Mus musculus: one gene and its partners. The protein of the gene in region 1 interacts with the protein of each later gene in a pairwise test. Links are inferred from orthologs where the notes say so. Each region holds a gene or a part of one and is shown in the gene's direction. Other genes may lie near its edges. The genes, in order: Vasp, Abi2, Trim9 and Zyx.

What was found.
Region 2: the proteins of Vasp (region 1) and Abi2 interact in binary tests that used the Homo sapiens proteins (3 or more experiments, as listed by UniProt). The link is inferred for Mus musculus from reciprocal best matches to the Homo sapiens genes VASP and ABI2.
Region 3: the proteins of Vasp (region 1) and Trim9 interact in binary tests that used the Homo sapiens proteins (3 or more experiments, as listed by UniProt). The two-hybrid records come from large-scale screens. The link is inferred for Mus musculus from reciprocal best matches to the Homo sapiens genes VASP and TRIM9.
Region 4: the proteins of Vasp (region 1) and Zyx interact in binary tests that used the Homo sapiens proteins (3 or more experiments, as listed by UniProt). The link is inferred for Mus musculus from reciprocal best matches to the Homo sapiens genes VASP and ZYX.

Annotation. Positions count from the first base shown.
Region 1 is NC_000073.6:19,259,114-19,261,893, reverse strand, and holds part of Vasp (vasodilator-stimulated phosphoprotein), read left to right. Parts: intron 1-680; coding exon 681-718; intron 719-828; coding exon 829-1,070; intron 1,071-1,212; coding exon 1,213-1,313; intron 1,314-2,426; coding exon 2,427-2,478; intron 2,479-2,628; coding exon 2,629-2,662; intron 2,663-2,780. UniProt on the Homo sapiens protein: Ena/VASP proteins are actin-associated proteins involved in a range of processes dependent on cytoskeleton remodeling and cell polarity such as axon guidance, lamellipodial and filopodial dynamics, platelet activation and cell migration.
Region 2 is NC_000067.6:60,451,056-60,454,622, forward strand, and holds part of Abi2 (abl interactor 2), read left to right. Parts: intron 1-2,548; coding exon 2,549-2,707; intron 2,708-3,567. UniProt on the Homo sapiens protein: Regulator of actin cytoskeleton dynamics underlying cell motility and adhesion. Functions as a component of the WAVE complex, which activates actin nucleating machinery Arp2/3 to drive lamellipodia formation.
Region 3 is NC_000078.6:70,246,578-70,250,144, reverse strand, and holds part of Trim9 (E3 ubiquitin-protein ligase TRIM9), read left to right. Parts: intron 1-1,717; coding exon 1,718-1,880; intron 1,881-3,567. UniProt on the Homo sapiens protein: E3 ubiquitin-protein ligase which ubiquitinates itself in cooperation with an E2 enzyme UBE2D2/UBC4 and serves as a targeting signal for proteasomal degradation.
Region 4 is NC_000072.6:42,348,446-42,352,668, forward strand, and holds the start of Zyx (zyxin), read left to right. Parts: upstream 1-1,382; 5' UTR 1,383-1,674; exon of another isoform or gene 1,675-1,811; 5' UTR 1,812-1,823; coding exon 1,824-2,031; intron 2,032-2,500; coding exon 2,501-2,703; intron 2,704-2,824; coding exon 2,825-2,917; intron 2,918-3,029; coding exon 3,030-3,524; intron 3,525-4,223. UniProt on the Homo sapiens protein: Adhesion plaque protein. Binds alpha-actinin and the CRP protein. Important for targeting TES and ENA/VASP family members to focal adhesions and for the formation of actin-rich structures.

The DNA of each region.
Region 1 (2,780 bases):
AGGGCCAAGAGTCTAGAAGTAGATGGCACTCAGACACTGTTTACCAAGCCCCCAGAGACAAGAAACTGCAAAAATGGGTGTAGTGGCATACAACCTGTCATCTCAGCCTGAGGCAGGAGGGTTGCCAAGAGTTTGAGGCCAGCCTATGTAGTGAATTCCAGGCTGGCCTTAGAAATTAGTCAGGGGTGCTGTTGTACAAATCAGCACGGTGGTGCGCACCTTTCCAAGCATTCAGAAAGCAGAGGCAGGTGGATCTGCAAGTTAGAACTTCATCTGGTCTACAAAGTTCTAGGCTAACCTATGCTACACAGTGAGACCTTGTCTAAAAAGAGAAAGAAAATCTAACCCCTCCCCAAAAAGAATCTGATGAGGGAATGAACCATGCTGGTACCACCCCCTCTTCCCCCCCCCCCCCCCCCCCGTGCCCCTACTCCACACCAGGACTCCACCTTTCTGAGCCCATGGCCACTTTGGAATCATCTGCTTGCATAGTTGTAAAGAACGTACCCAGGCTCCATCCATGCCTCCTGCCCCTTGTTCTCATCCTTCTTTCCCTGGGCCCTCGGAAGGCAGACTTGGATGGAGGGGAGGCACCAGCCTCCTTGGTGACCTGAGAGATGAACCAGTTAGCTTGGTTTGGGGACTGAAGCAGCCTCCTTTCTCCCCCCTCCCCCGTACAGGCAGCCGGAGCATATGGAGCGCCGGGTCTCCAATGCAGGTGATGGCCGTGACTGGGTCACGGGGACCTCCCTGGAGGAGCTGGTTGGGCAGGGAGGACACAAAGCCAGGCTTCTCTCTCAGTAGGACCATTCTCTGTGTTTATTGCAGGAGGCCCACCTGCTCCCCCAGCTGGGGGCCCTCCTCCACCTCCAGGACCTCCCCCTCCTCCAGGTCCCCCCCCACCCCCAGGTCTGCCCTCCTCAGGGGTATCTGGGGCAGGTCATGGAGCAGGGGCAGCCCCACCCCCTGCACCCCCACTCCCTACAGCACAGGGCCCCAATAGTGGGGGTTCCGGGGCCCCAGGCCTGGCTGCTGCCATTGCTGGAGCCAAACTCAGGAAAGTGAGCAAGGTAAGGAAGTACCAGGGAGTGGCTGGGATGAAGCCCTGAGGGGACAATGGGAGGTGGTCAGAGTCCCCCAAAGGTGTCACAAGAGGGCTGGGAGGTCACCTGGCCTACCTGTGAAGCCTTCTCCCCCTTTTCATTCTTTCAGCAGGAGGAGGCCTCTGGGGGGCCCCTGGCCCCCAAAGCTGAGAACAGTCGAAGCACTGGTGGGGGGCTTATGGAAGAGATGAACGCCATGCTGGCCCGGAGGTGAGCCTGAGTCCCAGAATTCAGCTATATGCTGCATTTTCAGGGTTAGGCTGTTGTAGTGCTGACTGGGCCCCTCCCCTTCCTGTCCTCTCTCTTCCTTTCCCCGCCGCTCATGTCTAGCCCAGGCTGAACTCCCGATGCACCTGCCTCGGCCTCCTGGGCGCTGGAATGACACACCTGCACTCAGCTTCTTTGTGTCTATGAGTGGCGGTGCTGCCTGATGACAGCCATGTCCAGGACACGATGCTGGAGACTCAGCCCCTGAGGTGGCTCACAGACTGTAAAGTGCTTGAGCCATGAGAGATTCTTACACTCTGAAAGCTTAGATTCTTAGACACCCAGCTTGCTGACCTAGGAACTAACTCCTCGTCGCCCTTAGAATGCTTAAGATTTCCAGATGTGGAAATTATGGGGGACCCCTCCAGATTCTAGAGGAACAATCTCTGGACTGGATTTTTCCTTAAATTTTCAAGCTATTTCTTTTTATTTATCGTATATATGAGTGTGCCCATGACTCCCCGGAAGAGAGGTCTCTCCTTCCACCACGTGGGTTCTGTGACTAGGAGTCAAGTTGTCAGGGTTAACAGCCAGCACCCTTCCTTACTGAACCATCTCAGCAGCCCTGAACTGGATTGTTGCTGTTGCTGTTCTCAGCCCTGGCTAGGCTGGAACTTAGAATGATGACTCTTCCGCCTCTGCCTCTCACATACTGGGATTACAGCCTTGTGCCATGTAATACATTCTGTCCCATGTTGTTTTTTTTTTTTTTTTTGAGACAGTCACTCGCTGTGTAGACTAGGGCGGCTTTGAACTCACAGAGATCTGCCTGCCTCTCTTTTTAAAAGTCTTGCTACATTTATTTATTCACTGTGTATGTCTGTTTATGTGGGGGTTAGAGGATAAGCTGCAGGACTCAGTTCTCTCCATCAGCCTTCACAGAGGTCTTTGGGATTAAATCAGGTGGTTCTGCTGGTACAAGCATCTCTCTCTGCTGAGCTATCTTGCAGGCCCCTTCTTTAACTTTCCAACCTCTCCTGGAATTTAGCAGTGGGAAGGGGTCCTGTTGAGTGGCAGAGTGTGAACTGTAGCTTGTCCTTGCTTGCCCCTCTGCAGAAGAAAAGCCACACAGGTTGGGGAGAAGCCCCCCAAAGACGAGTCAGCCAGTGTAAGTAGGGGGCTTTTCCTGCCCTATATTCCTTATGGTGTACACTAGTACCCTAGGGCAGGGAGGAGGTGTTACAGGGCTGAGCTGGCTTTGGACCTGAATATTGGCATAGAAAGGGTAGTTTATGATACTTGTATTTACCGCCAACAGGAGGAGTCAGAGGCCCGACTCCCTGCCCAGAGTGGTGAGTGATAGCCCTGTTCTATCCATAGAAACTATAAATCCAAGGACACATTGTTCTTGTTTTAAAAGCACTACAGGGGAAAATCTGTGAAAACAGTACTGGGGATTGTAGTTTTCTA
Region 2 (3,567 bases), on another chromosome or scaffold:
ACCATGTGGTTGCTGGAAATTGAACTCTGGACCTCTTGTAGAGCAGTCAGTGCTCTTAACCACTGAGCCATCTCTCCAGCCCCTGAAAAATATATTTTAATGCAATATTTTATATAGCAAATTACAAACTATGTTTATAATAAACTCATAAATTATACTTCAAAGGACTTTAAGATTATTTAAGTTGACTGATGTTTTATTTAAGATTTCAACCTAGTGCTAAGGAGATGGCTTAGCAGGTAAAGGGCTTGCTGCCTAGCCAGACAGCCAGGGTTGTATAAGTTGTCCTCTAATCTACACACGCACACGCACACGCACATGCACACTCTCTGTTGTATGAATGTGCCCTCCTTATAAATAAATGTAATCAATCATTTTAGAAAAGATTTTAACCTCAAATACATTTTGCTGGGATAGGAAAATAAATTTAACTGTTAATATGATGCTGGTTAGTAAATGTATCCTTTTTTTGAGACAGGGTTTTTCTGTGTAGCCCTGGCTGTCCTGGAACTTATTCTGTAGATCAGCCTGGCCTCAAATTTACAGAGACACACCTGCCTCTACCTCCCAATTATTGGGATTAAAGGTGTGTACCACTACTACCTGGCTACTAATAAAACATGTTTTAAAAGATGTCTTTGTCCTAATTGGATTTTGAATGGTATTCTATTTAGATAGCTTCTATAATAATCCTTATGAAGATTTTTCTGTAATGGATGAGTAAAAATATGGACAGTCATTTGGTTGAGATATACAACTCTGTTACACTAGTCCAACTAGTTAAAAAGAGAAATCTTGCAAATGCCCAGAAATAATAAATGGCCCCTAACTAAGAGTTAATTTTAGCAGTTAAATGATAACATAATAATAGGTACTTGGCTGTGCTTGATAGACTTAATATTGATGAGAATTTAGAGTGGATCCAACTTTATAAAATTCATAGTTTTCTTTTTTGAAGATCTTAGGCAATGCTTTTCTCCCTGTTGTCTTTTGCCCTTTCTCCTTTTTATTTCCCCTTTTTCCTCTTCCCCTCATGGTATAGCTTCTCCTCCTCTTCCTGTCTTCCTGTCATTCCCTTCCTTGCATGCCCTGTTGCTTGCTGGTGTTCTTTCATGGGTGGCCTTTTCCTGATATAAGAGGGCCCCTGACTGAGTGGGCACCAAGTGAGGGTAAAGGCAAGGTCGGATTTGAGTTATAGATGGAAACTGGGTGGATTAGGAAAGAATGTTTCCGGTTGATGTTAGCAGTGTATAACTCTGAAGAGGTAAGATAGGTTGAAATGAGTTATAAATGGATAGGTTTCTGGGGTGATGATCATTTTTGATTCAGATTTCATAAACTATTTTATGACACAATCTGGCTATAAGAAGATGAGTATATTGAATTGTATAAAGATGGGTTTGACTTGGCGTTAAAGCATCAAATGTTTTGTTGAACTATTTTGTTTCCTTTTAAACAGTGTTTTTTGTTATCACCACCTATTTTAGAATATGGCTGTATCAAACATTTTTTTGTTTTGTTTTTGTTTTTTTCCCCCAGAATTTAATTCTTCGTTTAGTCTCCAATGTTTAATGGCTGCTTTAAATAATTATTTTTTGGACAGGAGGGGGAAATTAATCTCTTGTGTCCTATAACAATACTGTAGACTAGATTATTTATAAATTATATTAGTCTGACTATATTAGTTCTGGAGGCAGAATATCTAGTATCAAGGTTCCTTAATCTGGTGAGAGACTTTGTACATAGAATAAAAAAGGAGAAAATCCACTTTTGATAATGGTATTACTTACTCATGAGAACAGAACCCTTATGACCTGATAACTGTTTACAGCTGTGGTCTTTTAACACTGGTGTGCTAGGGCAACGCTTCCCAGCCTTCCTAAGGCTGTGACCCTTTAATACAGCTCCTCAAGTTGTCATGACTCCAAACGTAAAATTACTTCATTACTACTTCATAACTGTAATTTTAAAACTGTTATGAGTTGTAATGTAGCTGGGCAGTGGTGGTGCATGCCTTTAGTCCCCACACTTGGGGATTGGGGTGGGCAGAGGCAGATGGATCTCTGTGAGTTTGAGGCCAGCCTGGTCTACAGACTGAGTTCCAGAAAAGGAAGATAACTCAGAGAAAACCTTGTCTCACAAAACCAAAAAAGAAAAGAAAAAAAGAGAAATATAATGTAGATAGGTATCTGATACGTAGGCTGTCTGATGTGTGACCCTTGGGGTGAGAATAGTTAGCTATACTGGAGACTTGGTGTTGGGACACATTCTGTCTGTACATTTTAATTAATTGTGCTTTTAAAAAAATAGTCAATTAAAAGAAAGTCAAAATGTTAGCTTTTGATTTAGATGTTAGTTTTCCAAATGCAATATTTTAATTTTCTTACCTTTATGCTTTAATACAGTATCAGCTGTCATCTTTCATTAATTTGGATAGATACTGTGGTTTTTAATAATCTTACTAGAAAGTGAATGATATACTTAGAAAATTTCATTATTTGAGATGAGTTTCCTTTAATGATGCGTTTGTGTTCTGTTCATTTTCCAGGTCATCCTGTTCAGTTCTACAGCATGAACAGGCCTGCCTCTCGCCATACACCACCTACAATAGGGGGCTCGTTGCCCTATAGACGTCCTCCTTCCATAACGTCACAAACAAGCCTTCAGAATCAGATGAATGGAGGTCCTTTTTATAACCAGAATCCAGGTTAGATTTCTCTTTATCAATTTCTTTTCATCTCTTTTATATTGCACCATAAAAAACAAAACCTTTTTGTTACACATAATTAGCCCATACATGATAGGTGTTTATCCTAGACACATTTGGTAGTTTAGACTATTGTTGAATGAATAGAAGGATGGATGAATACTAAGTTTTTAATACTACTGTATTTTTACTTTAAAAAGTCAATACATGATTTTTATGTAAAGCTAAAGAGCTCATCCTGCTCTTCCTCCATTGGAATAGTTTTCTGTGTGCCTAGTAATTTGCTTTTAAAAACTAGTACTGAATTGGGGCAATGCTGGTGCACATCTTTCCAGCACTTGGGAGGCAGAGGCAGGTGGATCTTTGACTTTGAGGCCAGCTTAGTGTATACAATGAGTTCTAGGATGACCAGCTACATTCATGGGGCAGAGGCAAGGAGAGAAGCCAGTCTAGGCTGCAGAATGAGAGCCTGACTCAAGTGGAGTGTATATAAGAATAGTATTTTTGTTTAATGAGACATCATTGCTCTATGAATTACACAAGTAGGTGTATAGAAAGGTGTTTTGCATTAGGCAGTCAAACTGTCTTAACATAGTTATTAAATCCAATACTGTGGTGGGCTTTGGAGAAATCGATTCACAAAAATTAAATAAAGAATTGAATCATATATTATAGAAAAGCTACCCTTGCACATTTAATGCTACAAATAATAGTATTTTGTTCCTTCCTTGGAGAATGCAAGAGAAAATTTAGACGTATCAACTACATGAATATATTATGTTAACGTACTGTTTAATTTTTAATTTTGGCTAAGAGGTAATTAAGCCTGTGTGAGGTCCTCTGACAAATCATTCCATCTC
Region 3 (3,567 bases), on another chromosome or scaffold:
ACACTGGTCTGTCTTAATCACCCCCCCAGGAAACATTCTCTTTGGTGGCTCTGGGGGTGGGGTGGGGGGGATCCAGTTATGTTCAGTGAGATCAAAGGAAAAGCAGGCCCAACAGGGGCAGAATAATGACCTCACTCTCTCAGCTTCTCCTGTCAGTCACCACTGATGCTTTGCTAGTCAGTAGATTCTTAGAGCTTCCCAGCCCTCGGACATCCTCTGTCCTGCTCCATTCATGTCTGTTTTATTGGCTATCCCTTGAAGTAAGCACACAAAGCATTTTATATTGATATCAAATCCAAGTGGCTACAGATAGCAGGTCTCTTCAGCAGTTCACACTGGGGGTACTCTGTGACTAGCTACCTGATAGCATCACCCGTGCACTTGTGATCAGCCTCTTGATTCTGGAGCGCAGGGGTAAATAGGATCACCCCCATCGCGGCGATGCAGAGACGCACATTTCAGAAGCCGAACACATCTTGCATGCTAACTGAATGTCGCTTGTGCTGTCGCTGACAGGCTTGTAAATAGCAAGATTGCCTGTGGTGGTGTCCAGTCTGTCTTCTGCATGCAGAAGAAAGGAGTGATGTTTATAAATGTCTGTGCTCTGCTGAGATAGGATTCAGTTTTGCTAGCTTTCACACTGATGAGAGAAGACAGATCTGGCTATCTGTCCCTGATGGTGCTCTGCAGTCAACAGCTGCATCAAAAGACATAGTTCTTTGTAAGGTGGTGTTTATACTCGGATCTCTGGAAACCACTGAACTCCCTATAGTATAATTATGTCTCAGGAAGGTATCCCCTTCAATGCTGTCATTTTACAGAGAGAATCTAATGTCTTCATTCAAAGTCATTGTGCTGAAAGATTAGCATCTTTCCAGAGTGAGTTCCACTACTCCATGGAAAGCAGAAGGCTCTGAGTCCAGTACCTATCATATGTCCTGGGTTCGACCTAAGTACTTCTTTATTGTGACTTTCTGATTAAGTCATTTTGTAATAAATGCTGTTAGAGTCACACTGTACATGCTAAGTGCAGAGCAGAGCTGATGCCCTGTGGTAGCCAAAAGGCTGTTTGGGCTCAGTCTTGGTATTGTCTTCTGCTGTAGCTCAGTAGCAGAAAGTCCATTTATAACAATTCTCTCTCAGCAAGGCACAGTAAACAAGAGACTGTCATGAGAGGTGGCCGTCTCTGCAGGGGGTGGGAATTTGGGGGAGCAAAAAAAAATCTAAATCATATTTTATTATGTAAAGCACAGATACACAAAATATAAGTAGTATATAGTGTATCTAAGGCTTTAAGTTTTTATGTGAAAAGTGTTGCTTAGGGCAAAAAAAATGTGTTTTTTTAAAAAAAGCTAACCAACGGAGGGATGTAAAGAATCAAAATTCTGGTTTGACTGGGCCTGGTGGGACAGGCCTATAGTACCATCTTCTTGGGGGGTTGAAGCAGGAAGACTACAAGTTTAAGGTTTGCCTGAGTTATCATGGAGTTCAAGGCCAGCCTGGACAATTTGGTAAGATGCTGTCTCAAAATAAAAAGTAAAAAAGAGGGCTGGGGTAAAAGCCAGCGGCAAACTCACCTACTATACATGGGGCCAAGTTCAACCCTCAGAACCAAAGAAAAGCAAAGGAAGAATGCAGACTGGTCCAGCAAGCCACAAGGGAGAGATGTAAGATGAAAGCAAGCCGACGACATTCCACTTTTTCCCTTTTCCCACAGAACTGAAGGAGGGATCACAAAAGGGGCCACCATCGGGGTCCTCCTCGACTTAAACAGAAAGACATTAACGTTTTTCGTCAACAATGAACAGCAAGGCCCCATAGCGTTTGAGAACGTGGAGGGCCTGTTCTTCCCTGCTGTCAGCCTGAACAGGAATGTGCAGGTAAGCTTGTGGGCCCCAGGACTAAGGGCTTGCTCAGGTTGCTACTTCAAAGTCTGCCCAGGGGCAGTAAAATCCCCCCAAGCCCCAGCTCCGTGAGGGAAGCTGGTATAAGACCCAGAGTGAGACACACCAAAGACACCTTCCCATGTGCCTGCCACAGCCCAGTCAGCCACCCACGGGAGACAGACGCCTTCTCTACCCTGTCTATTTATCCTTTGCTCTAGTTTCTTCTTTAAGTAGACCTGAATGACTTCAACAGACTGGCTGCTGAGATGGCTCCTACCAGGCCCCAGGAATGCCCAGGAAAAGCAAATCTTAGGCACTTATCAGAAGTGTGAGCTGCTTTTTGTCCTTCACTCTTCATTGTGCAACAGGGCTGGGAAGCAGTAGCCCCGCCTGCGAGTTAGATACTTGCAGTTTCCCATAGAGACAGAACAAGGGGTCCTTCTCGCCCCTTTATTCAACAGCCATCTGCAGGGCTCTTTGAGCATGCCAGGCTCTACTGTAAATATTTGCTATCCATCAGCGGGAGAAAAAAAAAAAAAAACAGATACAAACCTTACCTTCCTGAAACTTATATTCTGGTTACAGATCATAACCATGTGATTTCTAAGGTACGTTAGAGGGTCAGAGTATGGCAAAGGGATCAGCAATACTGGGAACATGCTAAATAAACAGCCACAGGCTTAAGCGGGGTGGTCAATCAGCTGGTCTTATTATAGTTGCTGCTTATCTGAGTCCTGAAGGAGGGAAGGTAGCAAGCTGTGTAGAGATTTCAAAACAGAAGGCATAGCATGAGGAGCTTTGGGTGGGCAGAGAATGGTAAAGAGGGGATTCATAGCATGCAAGGAATGTGGGTGATGCCCTGCCAACCACTGTTAGAATTCAGGGCTTCACTGCCATCCTGATTTGGGCTTCTCATTGCCCGATATAAACCTCACTAACCTTAAAATAGGACCTGAGAGTCAAACGCTGTAGGGTTCATGCCCTAGCTACAGCCACAGTCTTAAAAGCTCTTTTAAGTTGTTTCCTGTTTATGAGTAGGGGTAGTGAAACTGCTTACAGCCCAGCGGGACCTGATTTCCAGCTTCCTGCAAGGAGATGGGATTATCTGAGGAGCTGGAATCTAATTCTTCAGAGGTCAGCCTGTACACCAGGAGATAGAAAACCTTAAATTTTTATAGGAGTCAATCTAAGAAAAACCTCGTTCAAAGTTTTTCACCTTTTCAGCCATTTCCCTTCCAAAGACTATCATGCTGGCCATGCTTCGGGATTTTCAAGGGTGTTCTAGTGCCTTTAGACAAAGACTCTTGATGGGGGTGATACAGATAAGAAGGTAGAAATGGCCATATTTATGATATGCTTCTAGTGTTTCCCATAACTCTCCACATAGTTTGAGGTAGAGTAGAAATTGTTGAAATAGCCTAAGTGCCTATATTCCTTCCCACTATAAAGCCTTTCCCGAAATCACAGATAGATAGGTTGGAACTCACAGACAAGCTAATCTGATCTCTGTCCACGGACTTGACCGTGACCTGCAGATGAGCACCTTGACCTCAGCCATAAGAAACGTACCCTCCCCCCAACCTTTTTTTAAAAGTGGGTATTGTGTATCCTGGGTTTGGAAGGCCACTATGATGGCCAGGCTTTTAGCACAGCTAGTATCCTGCTAGAAGACCCTTCAATG
Region 4 (4,223 bases), on another chromosome or scaffold:
GAGAAAGCTGCCTAGGTTAACTGGCTGGAAATTTCCGTTGTTTTCCAGGCTGGAACTTGGAAGTAATACTGAGAACTATATAGAATTTTCAGGCATGGCATGTTATTTATCTCTTCACATAAAGCAGCAGGCAAACGAACTAAATGCCATCCCTTTTACAATGGAGGCAATGAAACCGAATGAATGAAAAATCTTGTCCACTGAGTTGGAAACCAGGCTCCCTGACCTCACGGAGTTTCTCCATCTTTGCCAACAGGGTTAATTAACTCTGACCTGAGTGCAACCCTTGGGGCCGTCTTTTCAGGTAACATCCCCCAGTTTCTTATCCTAGGTTCATGGGGTTAGTTTGCATGCCCCTAAAGCATAGCTCAAGGACATATACTGACCAACCATACTGGACAGTAGGGTGCAGCAGATGGGGAGCGCCAAGGTTTGGAGCCTCAGCCAGGGATGACAGGGCGAAACCAAAGGAAGCACCGAGGGTTGGATATTGGACTAGAGGCTCTAGCTCGTAACTCTATAATTTGGACGAAGTTTCCGTGTGTTGTTTAAAAAAAAAAAAAGAAGAAGAAGAAGAAGATCGGAAGGGAAAGATGCAAGATTAAGAAAGTAAGAAAAGCAGACACCAGCTTAGTCATATCTCTTTCATGTAGCCTGGGGCAGTCTCAGGCTGAGGAATCTGGTAGGACCAGTGGGGGGCTCCACCGAGCTTTGTCCCGGGGCGCGCTGACAACCCAAAGACTCTTGAGGGACTGGGAAAGGCTTGCTGAAGGGATCCTCAAGGACTAGTCCCCGGGGGCTATTTGGGTCTTCCTAGGTTGTCTGACCACTCGCCCTGACTTCGCCCTTGTACCTCCATTCCTGGACTCAAAGCACTGGACTCTTGTCCCCGGGGCAATACTATTGCAGGCGGGTCTAGGGCAAAGCGAATTCCTAGAAGCCTTAAGAGGCTGCCTAGCTCAGGAAGTTAGCATTCCCCCAGCTTAGGCTCCTGCTCACACACTAGTGGGTTACAGAAGGCCGGCCTGGGAGCCAAGTGCCCGCAGGGCCAACGTCCCTTCACCATCCCCCGCCCACCCAGGAGTACAGTTCCATCCCAGTCCTGCGTTCCGGGACTGACCACAGGACACGTGGGACGCGGAGCTGAAGCTGCAGGGAGGGGCGGGGTCGGTCAATGGCAGGCAGGCCCGGGGTGCGCGACTGAGCTGCTTCAGGACCGCTGGGATTACTAGCCAGCCTGCTCAGCCTGGAGTGCGGACAGTGAGTCAGTTCTCCAGCACTCGCGGGTCGGGAGGAGGGAGGTGGGGTAGGTGGCAGGTCAGGAAATGACATCAGAGGCCTGTGCTGGGGAAGGGTGGTCTGTGCCCGGCGGGGGCGGTGGTGAGTAGGGAGGCCGCAGGCGGACCTTTGCAGAGCCTGGAGCCCGGGGCAGGACCTGGGCCCCTTCCTGGGGGAGTTTCCTGTCGGGTCCTCCCTCCCCGGTCTCTCCCCGCCCCCTCTCCGGGCCGCTCCTTGTATGGTCTGGGCGCCGCTCTCTCCCCGCCCCCTCCCTCCCTTCCCGTGCACGACGTCCCTCCCCGCTTGGCTAGAAGCGGCTCCGGACCGGGACGCAGAGTCCGCGGACTCGGCGCCGAGGCGGTCATCCGAGACGCGCCTCTCACGCTCCTGCGCGCGGTGAGGAGCGGGGAGAAGCTCCGCCGCCCCGGGAAGGGGACGCGGGGAGGCGCGGGTGGGGTCACCGAGGGGCGCTTAGACCGAGGAGTGTCAGTCCGACACCGCTCTGCGTAACCTGACGACCCCACCCCCTGCAGCCCGGCCTGGCCATGGCGGCCCCCCGCCCGCCTCCCGCGATCTCCGTCTCCGTCTCGGCCCCCGCGTTTTACGCCCCGCAGAAGAAGTTCGCCCCGGTTGTGGCCCCAAAGCCCAAAGTGAATCCTTTCCGGCCTGGGGACAGCGAGCCTCCTGTAGCAGCCGGGGCCCAAAGAGCGCAGATGGGTCGGGTGGGCGAGATCCCACCACCACCCCCGGAAGGTATGCGGCTGGGATTGGGGGCCCTGATCTTTCTCGGGCGCCAGGGGTGGGGGTCGGTGGTTTGGGGAATTTGGGGTTGTCTGAAAAGGCTGTTGCGGAGGGGGCTGGGCGCTGGGTGGCTACCCTGTCCTGAGCAGATGTTCTTACCTCATCTTGGAGCTCCTGGCTGGGAGCCAGGACCCTTGGGACTGTTCCAAGTCTCCCGCCTGGGGGTAGGAGGCGGGAATGTGGGCCAGGAATCTTCCCCTCTGGATCCGTTCTCTGAAGTGTAACGGGAGCTGCACGGTTCTTCAACCTGGCTCGTTCTCACTCGACCTGCTTCGCCCAGGGCATCCTGAGCCCCTCGTTATGGTCTGCACACACTCTTGGGATGCAGGAAAGAGTTCTTGGATTAGGGGTTAAAGCAGTCGTCTGAGGAGAGGAGGAAAGAGGGTCGGTACTGATAGCCTTTTCTCTCCTTCCTACCCAGACTTTCCTTTGCCCCCTCCTCCCCTTATTGGGGAGGGCGACGACTCAGAGGGTGCCCTGGGAGGTGCCTTCCCACCTCCACCTCCCCCGATGATCGAGGAACCATTCCCCCCTGCTCCTCTGGAGGAGGACATCTTCCCCTCCCCTCCACCTCCACTGGAGGAGGAGGGAGGGCCTGAGGCCCCTACCCAGCTCCCACCGCAGGTAGGGAGGGCTTGGAAGGGCAGCTTTGCTGGAGATGGGGTGGGGGACACCTCCATGGGCTGGAGAGGAGTGGGGTGACAAGGGAAGACTGGGATGGGTGCTCTGACCCTTGACCCTCCAGCCCAGGGAGAAAGTGTGCAGTATTGACCTGGAGATTGACTCTCTGTCCTCACTGCTGGACGACATGACCAAGAACGATCCCTTCAAAGCCCGGGTAAGGGGCAGGACAGTAGGAAAGTCTGGGCCTAGAAGGAGAGGAGGGAATGCAAGGAAGAGATGACAACCTCGTCTAAGTGCATTTCTCTCCCCTCTGCTTCTCCTTGCAGGTATCATCCGGATATGTACCCCCACCAGTTGCCACTCCATTTGTTCCCAAGCCTAGTACCAAACCTGCCCCTGGGGGCACAGCACCCTTGCCTCCTTGGAAGACCCCTTCTAGCTCCCAGCCACCACCTCAGCCGCAGGCCAAGCCTCAGGTCCAGCTCCATGTCCAGCCTCAGGCCAAGCCCCATGTCCAACCCCAGCCTGTGTCTTCTGCTAATACACAGCCCCGGGGTCCCCTTTCTCAGGCACCAACTCCAGCACCTAAGTTTGCTCCAGTGGCTCCTAAATTTACTCCCGTGGTTTCCAAGTTCAGCCCTGGTGCTCCAAGTGGACCTGGGCCACAGCCCAATCAAAAAATGGTGCCTCCGGATGCTCCTTCTTCTGTGAGCACAGGCTCCCCTCAGCCCCCTAGCTTCACCTATGCTCAGCAGAAGGAGAAGCCCCTAGTTCAAGAGAAGCAGCACCCACAGCCTCCACCAGCTCAAAACCAAAACCAGGTGAGGAGGCCACAGGCTGAGGCCAATGGACTGCAGAGTAAAAGGGCAAGAGGGTGGGGTAGAGAACCGGAGGAGCCAGAGTGGGTGTGGCGGTGGGGGAAGTGTAGGGTTATCTGGCAGGCCATAGAGAAAGTTCTGGAGGAAGTCTGGGGCTACCTGGGGCCTGGGTCAATCGGTAGAGCAGCTAGGGCTTAGCAGTAAGAGGATACAACTTTCCCTTCTGCCTCTGCCTTGGAGTGTTGAAGGGGAGAATGAGGTCACTAGCCCAACCTTAGTTTTTCCCATTCCTGGGCCTTGACTTAATCCCTAGGCTCCTGGGTTTTCTGAGCACTTTCATCGCCTGAGGGCCCATCTAGAGATTAAAGTATTGTCAGCACCAGTAAACATTTACTGGGCCAGCCTCAGCTGACTGCCAGGCACTGCTCTGTGCTATGGAGGCTGGGCCCGTGGGCACGAGAGACCTCTCCAACAGGTTCAGTCTTCTGAAGTCACAGGTCTAGGGTAGAATGTCTAGCCTGTTTCTCACAAGTCTTTAGACCCTAGTAACATTGGGTGAACTTTGAGCCTTCCCCCCCTCCCCACCTGACTTTGAAATAGCTACCCATCCCAAACAATGGTGAAGAGCAAGTCAGCTTATCTTCTTAGTCTAGCACATAAAAGCTCAAAATAGAAACAGACAGTACAGTTGTTGCCAGTTGT